2 linked regions of the Caenorhabditis elegans genome follow. The protein of the gene in region 1 interacts with the protein of each later gene in a pairwise test. Each region holds a gene or a part of one and is shown on either strand. Other genes may lie near its edges.

Region 1 (4,968 bases):
TAATTTCGAGTAATATGACTGAATACTACAACTTGAGACAATGAACTCACAGGTCTAAGTTTTGTTTTGATATTTGGTCATTTTAGAGGTATTAGGTTTTAACTATTTCTCACAGGTCTCACAGTACAGGAGTCTTTGAAAATAGTTTCAATCAATTAATCATTAACGTTGACACTTTCTAATTGAAAGGTCACGTTCTGGTAGTGAGTATATAAGATTTTCTAATCAATTGAAATAAATCAAATCAAATATTGTCTGTTGTAAACATGCCCCTGCTGAGTGTTCTGCTCACCCTCGCCGTGTTCTACACTACTGTCCATGGAAATGTACCAACGCGGGAGGACTTAGTTGCATGTCCTGAAGGCTTAGTCATCAACGGATTCCAACTCAAACTTTAACCGTTGCGAGGCCTTTTCGAGGCTGATCATGGTGTCACTGAACTCGTCTTTTTCTGCAATCCACCGGACGGAAGTAACTATTCTAATTAGTAAACTAGGTAATTAAATTTCCAATTTAGACAACCAAAGCCCCGATAACTTTATTGTAATAGACAATAATTCGCCATATGGATACTGGAGACAGATTACATGGTGCCCCAAAGGATCTGTTATTATTGCAATCCAAGAAAAAGTTGATTTCGAAAAACTTGACAACGCCGGTATCACCAACTTGGCTGCTAAATGCGGACGTCCACAAGACGACAGAACTGTTCAACCATCTTTTGCCTCTGGTGTGATAAAATAACATTTAGTGTGTTCTGAGATTGAATTTGCAGAGTTCTTCTATGCTCATGGTAAATGGACCCAGGAAAACTGGTGTGATGTTGGATCGGTCTTGGCCAGCTTTAACCCTAAATCTACCAGAAGACGAGGACTCGTAAGCGCTTGTTATGGATGCCGTAAAATCTGAACTGCTTTTTGTATTGCCTCTGGAACGAAATTTTAAAAAGGCATTCCCTCGAACTGTGCATTTACATGTATAATAAATTTCTAATCTGTCATCTTCTTATCTAAGCAACACAGAGAACTCTATTTATCAAATTTTTCAGTTATAGAAATGCCGCAAAGAACAAAGATTGTTAACATAAACGCCAGCTTTCTCGAACTTCCATTGAGTTTAGTCACTTCAGTTTAGTTGTGTTCAAAGTTTTGTTCTCCTATGTGGGCGTAGAATCGTCAAAATAACAAACAAAAACCTGAAAATTTTTAAGGAGCGAAAAAAATTAAAAGAGAAGAAGAAATTAATTTCACTCAATCAATTAATAACGGCTGCAACTATGCACCTGCTGATTGCACTGCTCATCTTCACCGTGTTCTACACTACTGCCCATGGGAATTTACCCACGCGGGAGGACTATATTGCATGTCCTAAAGGCTCAGTCATCAACGGATTCCAACTCAAACTTGAAACGAAACGAGGCGTTTTGAGCCTAGATCATGGTGTCACTGAACTGATTTTTTTCTGCAATCCACCGGACGGAAGTAACTATTCTAATTGGTAAACTAGCTAATTCAATTTCTAATTCAGATACCCTAAGCATCGATAACAAAATTGTCATTTACAATGATTCGCCATATGGATACTGGAGATCGATTCAATGGTGTCCCAAAGGATCTGTTATCATTGGAATCACAGAAAAAATCGATTCCGAAAAATTTGACAACGCCGGTATTACCAACTTTGGTGCTAGGTGCGGACGCCCAGAAGACAGAACTGAACAACCATCTTTTCTCTTTGGTATGGTGGAATATAACATGTGTGTTTTTTAATTTAATTTGTAGCCAAGCTCTACACTCATGGTAAATGGACCCTCCCGGAAAGCTGGTGTGATGTTGGATCGGCCTTGGCCAGTTTTAACCCAAGATTTACCAGAAGACGAGGGCTCGAAAGCGCTAGTTATGGATGCCGCAAAGTCTAGAATAATAGCAGTGGAATGAAATTTTAAAAATGCAACTAATTGAACTACGTCTTTATTTCAAGTTCACGTGTATAATAAATCTTTTTCATTTATTTACGTTAAAAAAACGTTTTTTTTTGTTAATTACAATTATGAGAGCATTAGAGAAATTGCCATAGCAGCAAATTTTTCAAAACATAAATCTAATTTGATTTTGAATTTTGGTGGTGTATGTTTCGTTTTTTCATGGAAAATTTTGTATAACTTAAGCCGAAGCTGCCGATCAATCATGTATTTCCAATTTGAGCTCATATCTGAAGAACCGTTGGGCTTTTGCTATAACATTTTGCAGGAAATTTTACACTCTTGAAATGACACAGATCAAGAAACACGATCAATATTTTTGAAAAAAAAAACTTCGGAGGTTTTAGTTCAGTTTTTTGTCAAGTACTACATAAATTTCCGAGTATCCATGGGAATAGTATCCTTAAAAGTGGGGCATAATAAAACATTTCAAAAAAGAGTTTTCAAAACTCAATCGAAATTTGGTAATTTGCCGAATCCTCCAAACATTTATAATTTTTAAAGAACTTTTATAATTTCTGCATGTTCAGAATGTTCAAATCTAGAATGTTCAAATAGCAACACTTTGAACGCAGCGCAATTGAAGTATGAAAAAGTCGTAAGAAAAAATATATGACTTCCAAAATTATGATAACCAAGTTTTCACTACTGTTTGACGGTACAATAAATTTCAAAAAAAAAATTGGAAGTCATTTTTAGAAGTCAAAACCACAGCACTCACAAACACAATAACTCCAAACATTTGCATAAAAACGTACCTCTTAATAATCTATGTATTTCAGACAGCGAAGATGTACATTTCTCAAGTGCACTTGTCATGGTTTTGTGCAACTGTTGATGATGTTGCTGTTGTTGATGAAGATGGTAGGGCTGGTGAGGAGGAAGTTGAGATAAGGACGGTGATGCGGTGATGGATGAAGTGGTAGTGGGGGTGGAAGCAGAGTGCGATCGGTGATGCAATGGAAGAGGACGAGAGGCTCCTCCAGCAGTGGTGGTCAGGTGGTGATGGAGGAACCAAGGAGGAGATGAACACCGTTGGCTTGATGATACTTTAAACTCCATTTTGCTCACACACACACAATGTTTCCTGCAAAGAGAGATTGATTGAGTATTTCTTGACTTGAGAACTTGGAAATTTGATGGATTGGAGAGAGTTCAAAATTTAAAGGTTTATATACTTTTATATTCTAGAAAAAAAACAACGATTTTTGAAAAACAATCAACTTCCCTGTCAATCACTGTGCAAAATGTGTCCTGGTTTTTAAAGTCTTTTACTGGATTGTTTTTGATATGTTTTTTGACGCAAAGTTCCAGGTTAGAGTTTTAAAACTACAAGTTACTGGTTTTGCGGTTTCTTTTTTTGAATTTTCAGTCACCAGAGGTTTGGAAAAGGCCTACCACACGCGCCGCATAAAATTAAAAATATATGTACTTTAGACTTGGTCCAAAAAAACTGATCACAAGACCATAGTATACTCAAAAAATTTAATTGGGCGGCGAGGTTCTCACGAGTTCTCGAATGACAAATCCCGACTTTTGAGCAGATACAAAATAGCAGAGAAACAGCTTAATTGTGATTTATGGAATTTGAGTTTTTAGTTTTGCAAAGAGTTTCGGGCCTAACAAAGCTCAGATTTTTTCTGATAAAAACTGGAAGGGAAAGTTTCGCGATTTGAGACCTCTTACATGAACGGGAACGATGAACCGGTTGATCTTTTTCAGGCATTTTTGTGCAATAGGAGGCATTTTGTGTAGGCAGAAAAATGGATGCCTGCCTGCCTGCTTGCCAACAAGGCTGCCTACACGCATGACGCTTTGAGCTACGAGTGCCAAGGGCTTTTAATATACATGAATGAGAGCACGAATTCGCTTAATTTATGTTTAGAAAGATAACTAATTTTTGTTAAAGTTGGGATTATATGTAAACCATAAAGCCTGCCTGCCTACAAGGCTGGCTACGTCTGCCTACACACGTAGCACAGTTTGAGTTATACACTAACGACCGAAAACTATATAGGTAAAAAGATATAAGTGTCCAGAGGCAAATGGAAGGCATATTAGAGGCGCCCAGGCGGAACGTCAAGGTACCAAGCATAGGCTTGAAGGTAGGCAGGCCTTTTTGTGGTAGGCTTATTTCAAACCTCTAGGAAAAGAAAATGTAGCCTAATATTTTTTCACTTTTAAAACTCATAAATCCTCTACTCAATTAGTACATTTGCTTTCTGCCGACAACTAATTTTCAAAAAAAGATGAGATAAAGATGAAAAAACCAAAAACACTGAGCTTCATCTTCTTCTCTTCCTCTATTTTTTACCCAAAACTACAAAATCTTCATCTCCGCCCATATCATCATTATCCACCCTCACTTTTTGATGTTCTGTGTAAAATCAGCTGTGTGTCGAAAGAAACGAAGAAGACAAAAAATGGAGAGAAATTTATGCGGCTGTTGTGTTTTTGTGTGTGCTGCCACAAATTTTCTCCGTGTTTTTTTTCGTACAATGCTCTTTTAGTACGTTGTCATCCTGATGGAATTTCGGAACGCGGCGAGAGCAGCTGCTCCGGCTTGCCCGGCGATGACCAATATCCGAATGGCTCGCAAGAACTCATTATTCTCGTTTTCTTCTGCTAAAGATTTCGAATAAATTGCACAATACCCTGAGCATTGCACAATTTTACACCTCTTCGCTTGATGGCTCAATTTTGTTTGGGGATATGGAGATAAATTACCTGGATTGAGCTAAGGAAGAGCGAAGAGTTTTGGGGTCCCGTTTGGATTTTAAATAAGCTATAAACTTTTGAAGACGGCGTTTTTATTGATTTATGCCCGCTTTTGTAGAAGTTCACATTGTTCAAAAAAAAAGCCAAAAACCTTAAAATTTGAAGCGACATGGTGCAAACGAGATGAGAATATTTTTCAAGTATTTTTACAAGCACCGCTCTTCAACTGTTCAGTTTTTTTCAAAAAAGAGCCAATGTCTGAAGAAACT
Region 2 (4,857 bases), on another chromosome or scaffold:
TCAAATAAATTTGGTGCGAACTTTAAGAATATTGATTTTTAAAAAACCTTTGAAAAAACATTTTGGCGCGAAATTCCAATTTAAAATTTTCAAAATTTCCAAAAAATTATACAATAATGTAGTCATAGTTTCCCAATTTCCATGAATCTTTTTTTTTCCCAAAAAAAAAAGAAAAAGTTACAAATAGTTAAACCCTTAACAAACTTTACAACTAGTCATCATCAACACTCATCAACATTCCTATGTTAACCTTTTCCCTGACTGAAGAAAAAAAAATTCTTTTCCCTTAAAATTTCAACAAACACATCTTTCTCTATGCTTTTTCCATACAATTCTCATATTTGCCGACACGCCTGTTGGCATCGCTTGCGCAGCTCGCGGAGCAGCTTCAGGAGCAAACAGTCTCACACATTGGGAAGAGGAAAAGCAGACGAAGAAGAAGAAAAGAAGTCGAGATTTTAACATTTTTGTGTGTGTGTGTTTTTATAAGTGTCTCTATCTATTTTCCCACCATTCTTGAACCATGTGTCAATTTTTTTTAACGCAACATTTTAAGCTCATTTTTCGAACTTTTACAAGAAATGTATCTTATTTGAAAAAAAAAACATTTAAGTAGATAGACAGACCCCTATGAAAATTCATATCATTTTGAACTAGAAAAAATGTTGCTCCCGGGAGCAAATTTTTTTTAAGACCATTTTTTTCGATAAATTTTTTTTTCGCACTCTATATGTTTTTTCCAAGTCTAATTAATTTTTACAATTATATTTTCACCTCAATTTTGTTTCTTTTTTTTGAAAAAAAAATCGGAATTTTTTGAAATGCGAAAAATTTTCAAAAATTTTTTTTTGAAATTTTTTTTTCTGTAACTTTGATATTACCTGAATTTGCCATTTTAACTATTTTTAAAAATTTTTCAGTGCTATAACAGTGCTTTAAATTTACAGAGACTTTCACTTTTCCGAAAGTTTTAGAAAAAAAAACAATTTTTGACTGAAGATTTTTTTGAGAACTTCTGAATTTTTTTAAATTTCAGATCGGCTTTTTCGTGATAATATTTTTTCTAATATATTTTTTCAAATTTCAAAAACATTTATTGCTACGAATTAAAGTTGATTATATCATAACTTTTAAAATTGTTTTCACCTTTCTGCATTTATTTTAGTTATAAGTTTTTTTCCGTTAAAGATGTTAAAAAATTGTCAACTAACAAAATATTTACTTAATATTTTTGAACAATTTGTTAGTTTGACACTTTTTAATATCACTTATGGTTCACAAAATATGCACGTTTTTAAAAAAAGTGCAAAGGCCTGACTTTATATGTTAAAACATGCATAACTTTTTAACTATAAGTGATATCAAAAAGTTGTCAACTAACAATGTGTTTGAAAATATTTTTTAAACATTTTAATAGTTGACAACTTTTTGATATCTCACACATGAACAAAGTTATAAGCAATTGAAAGTTAGTGCAAAAGCCTGAAATCTGAACACGATCAAATCTGTGAAAAAGAGAGGGACAGGTGTTATAAAACACTGAACAACTCAAAAACTATTTGAAAAGGAAAATTTAAATTAATAATTCTAATTACAGCATTTTTTTTTAACTTTAAGAACAAAACAATTTTGATTTGAAAAAAAAAGAAAAAAACTTGGAACGTTCAGCCAAATTCCGAGCGTCATTGCATAAAAATTTAGCAAATATTTATTGAAAAATCCAAAATTTAAGTTTTTAAACAATATTTTGCTCTACTTTTCTTGTTTTTTTTTCCAAAAACTCTTCCAAAAAAAAAAGCAAATTTTCAGCCGCAATGAGGGAAGGAACTCCGCGCGTCAGAATTGAAGTGAATAAGGGGTAAGTGAGTGCTCTTGACACCTCCCAGCCTCCATTTAATCCGTCCAGTTTCTTTTCTTTTTTGCACAGTTTTTGCTCATTCCTTTTATTGCAGCAGCAATCGACCCAGTCAATTTGTTTCCGAGTCAGAAGAGCAACGGCTGCAGCGAGTACAGAGTCGAGATTCTGATACGGCTACTATGAATTTTGTAACCGATGATCGAATGATGGTTAGTTTGAATTTTTTGATTTTTGCCTGCCTGCCTGCCTGCCTGCCTGACTACCTGCCTGATAGGTCGCCTTGCAGGCAGGCCGGTAGGCAGGTTCTCAGGGCCCGAATGCTGGCGTTTATTCTACCTATTGAATTTGAGTTTATTTAACTTAAAAAGAGAAATGATATTAATAAATTAGAAATTCTTTTTGAAATTTGAAGAACAAAAGTGTACTTTGCTAGTAGGTCGCCTTGTAGGCAGGTTTCTACGAATACCTGCATATTTTTTTCAAGCCTACAAGCATGCCTACGTGCCTGCCTTTTAGGAAAAAGCATGAGGCAGGCGTAGGCCGTGTTGAAGGCATGCTTACTGTACCTTCCGATTCAAAAATATACCGGAAACCCAGTTTTCTGATTGCTTATCACATTATCATAATAATAATAATCCCATTTTCAAACAACGTGCTCAAAAATTTCCTGTTTCCTCCTGTCGAAAAAAGAAAAAAAACAATAAAACACAATTTTGTAGGAGCACCCTTTTCTCAAGAGTGGACATTGTGTTGAAATTGGATATCCGTTTTTCTTTTTTTCAATAAGTGCATATTCTTGTTCCCAACACTGTTCGTGACTCTTTTTTCTTCAAATTTTTGCATAAAAACATTTTTCGGATCGTTGTTCCGGAGTTCTTAGAGATCTTTCTTTTTTCGGCTCAGTAGACTTTGAAGCCCCGTATCTCTGAAAGTTTAAGTGCTAGAAAAAAGTTACAAACTCTAAAAATATTGAAAAAATGTGATAAATATTTTTGTGGTTGACAAATTTTTGATAACTTTAAACAGAGCTGAGATATGAGCCCTTAAAGTTAAACTTAAATATTTCCTCTGATACATTTCCCAATATTTATATCTCTACGGGACACCAATATTTGCTCAACTGCTCAAAATACAAAACACATTTTTTTGGCAAAAGAGAGTGCATAGTAAGCCAAAACAGAGCACAAAAAGATCATAAAACTTTTTTTTGGAATTTTGGCATAACTCAACTTGGACAAGGCAAAATGTAAAATGACCGCGAAAAAAGTTGATGGCCTAGTTTTTTGAGTTTCCACGGCCACGTAGCAAAGGGCCACACTTGACTGAGTGGTCACAAAAATTTCGTTTTTTAATTGGGCGGAATGGGCGGAGTGTCGTTGTTTGTGCGACCTCTGACAAACCCCAATAAAAAATTTTTTAAAGAAAACTTTTTCTTCCCGCCGAGCACATCAGAGTACTCGAAAAGATCCAGTTATATGTACGTTCTAGTACTACTTAGTAAACGAAAACTTTCTCAACTCTTTCTCTCAGAGAGAGAGATCTTGGGAAAGAAGAGATTTATGTGCACAAAGAGCATTTTGGTGGGGGCATCCACTTCACTTTTGCCCTCCCCATATCCTCGGGGCCCCCCATTTCTACCGCATTCATTTATTCCACTATTTGGCGGCTCAGGGCTGCTGGCATATACAAAAAGATTTCATCTCACCAGCCTCTCACCTCTTTTTTTTTTTGGAAGAAGACGTTGTCGGGGTCTTACACGAAAATCAGTCCCCATGAGAATTTACCCCCGGCGCCTCTTTGTTAAGACGGCTTCCATATTGGTATTAGTGTGTGGCCGTGAGATATTGATGGCTGGGAAACTCCTCACGACCGTGGCCTAGTTTGCTTTTTCTAGACCACGGAACCTTTTTTCCGAATTTTTTAGATTTTTCAGAAATTTTAAGGCTCGTTAACAAATTTCTCTAAAGGTTTTTTCCGAAATTTTCATTTATTTTTCTACATTTTTCGATTTTTTTCTAAAAATGTTTAATGTTTTTCCCGAAAACTTCCGATTTTTTTTGGAAAATTTTTTAGATTTTTTAACGAACTTTATTTTCGAAATTTTTAATGTTTCTTCTTGAAAAATTGATTTTTCTTCCACACCGCCTAATTGCAATATTAAGGGTATTAGTGACGTCATTATTTTTCTAAGCCAACTGTGACGTCGTTGTGTCGAAGGGGTTTCTAGGCCATCTGTGACGTCACTGATTTTTCAAAATAGTGCCTCACTAGTTTCTAGGCCACGAGTGGCGTAATTTCTCTTCCACATTGTCTTAGCAAACCTTCTAGGCCACGTGTGACGGCATTTCTTCCCCACTCATGACCGTTAAATTTTCTATGCCACCTATGACGTCATTTCTCTTCCACCAAATGATTTTTTGTGTTCCCTCCAAAGCAAAACCTCATAAAAAGTGGTTAGTCACCAAAAAAGAAAAGCGCAGGAAAACTTTCGACCGCTAGCCAATAGAAGAAACCAATTTCATTCGCCTTTTTTTTTGCTCGTTTCATTCGATCTTCATCTCTCTCTTTTTCTTTCCTCGCCTAACTTTGTTTTTTTTCTTCCATTTTCTTGCAAATTGAATTTACATGTATGTATGTGTACGAGATTATCGCCTAATATATGTTTTTCTCTCCTCTGAAGCTCCTCTCTTTTGTCCGCTTCTTCGTAATTTGCTAATCCTTTGGCTGGAAATAGAACAGCTGAAAATAGGATTTTTCCGAAAAAATTCGAATTTTTGTTCAAAAAACTTATGTTATTTCTTCTAAACGTCTAAAAATCCGATCTTTTTAACAAAAAATAGCCCAAAACCCCAAAAAACCGGAAAACAACGACGCTCCGATATTCCGCTTAACCACCACCACGTGTTGTTTAGAATTTCGATAGTTATCGTAATTTTCTGCAAAATGAATCAATATTTTTGTTTGGAAAATGTGATAAAACAATTTTAAATCACAAAATT

The links.
Region 2: the proteins of F19C7.8 (region 1) and feh-1 interact in a two-hybrid assay, tested with the Caenorhabditis elegans proteins (one large-scale study listed by BioGRID).

The regions. Positions count from the first base shown.
Region 1 is NC_003282.8:4,635,053-4,640,020, forward strand, and holds the start of F19C7.8 (SH3 domain-containing protein), read right to left. Parts: upstream 3,044-4,968; coding exon 2,740-3,043; intron 1,919-2,739; coding exon of another isoform or gene 1,782-1,918; intron 1,738-1,781; coding exon of another isoform or gene 1,528-1,737; intron 1,482-1,527; coding exon of another isoform or gene 1,277-1,481; exon of another isoform or gene 1,249-1,276; intron 910-1,248; coding exon of another isoform or gene 776-909; intron 731-775; coding exon of another isoform or gene 518-730; intron 472-517; coding exon of another isoform or gene 399-471; intron 1-398. Other genes in the region: R105.5 (Vitelline membrane outer layer protein 1), read left to right, coding at 1,277-1,481, 1,528-1,737, 1,782-1,918.
Region 2 is NC_003281.10:2,548,118-2,552,974, forward strand, and holds the start of feh-1 (Protein Fe65 homolog), read left to right. Parts: upstream 1-1,802; 5' UTR 1,803-1,814; coding exon 1,815-1,858; intron 1,859-1,952; coding exon 1,953-2,067; intron 2,068-4,857. UniProt on the Caenorhabditis elegans protein: Modulates pharyngeal pumping activity, at least in part by regulating expression of the acetylcholinesterase genes ace-1 and ace-2.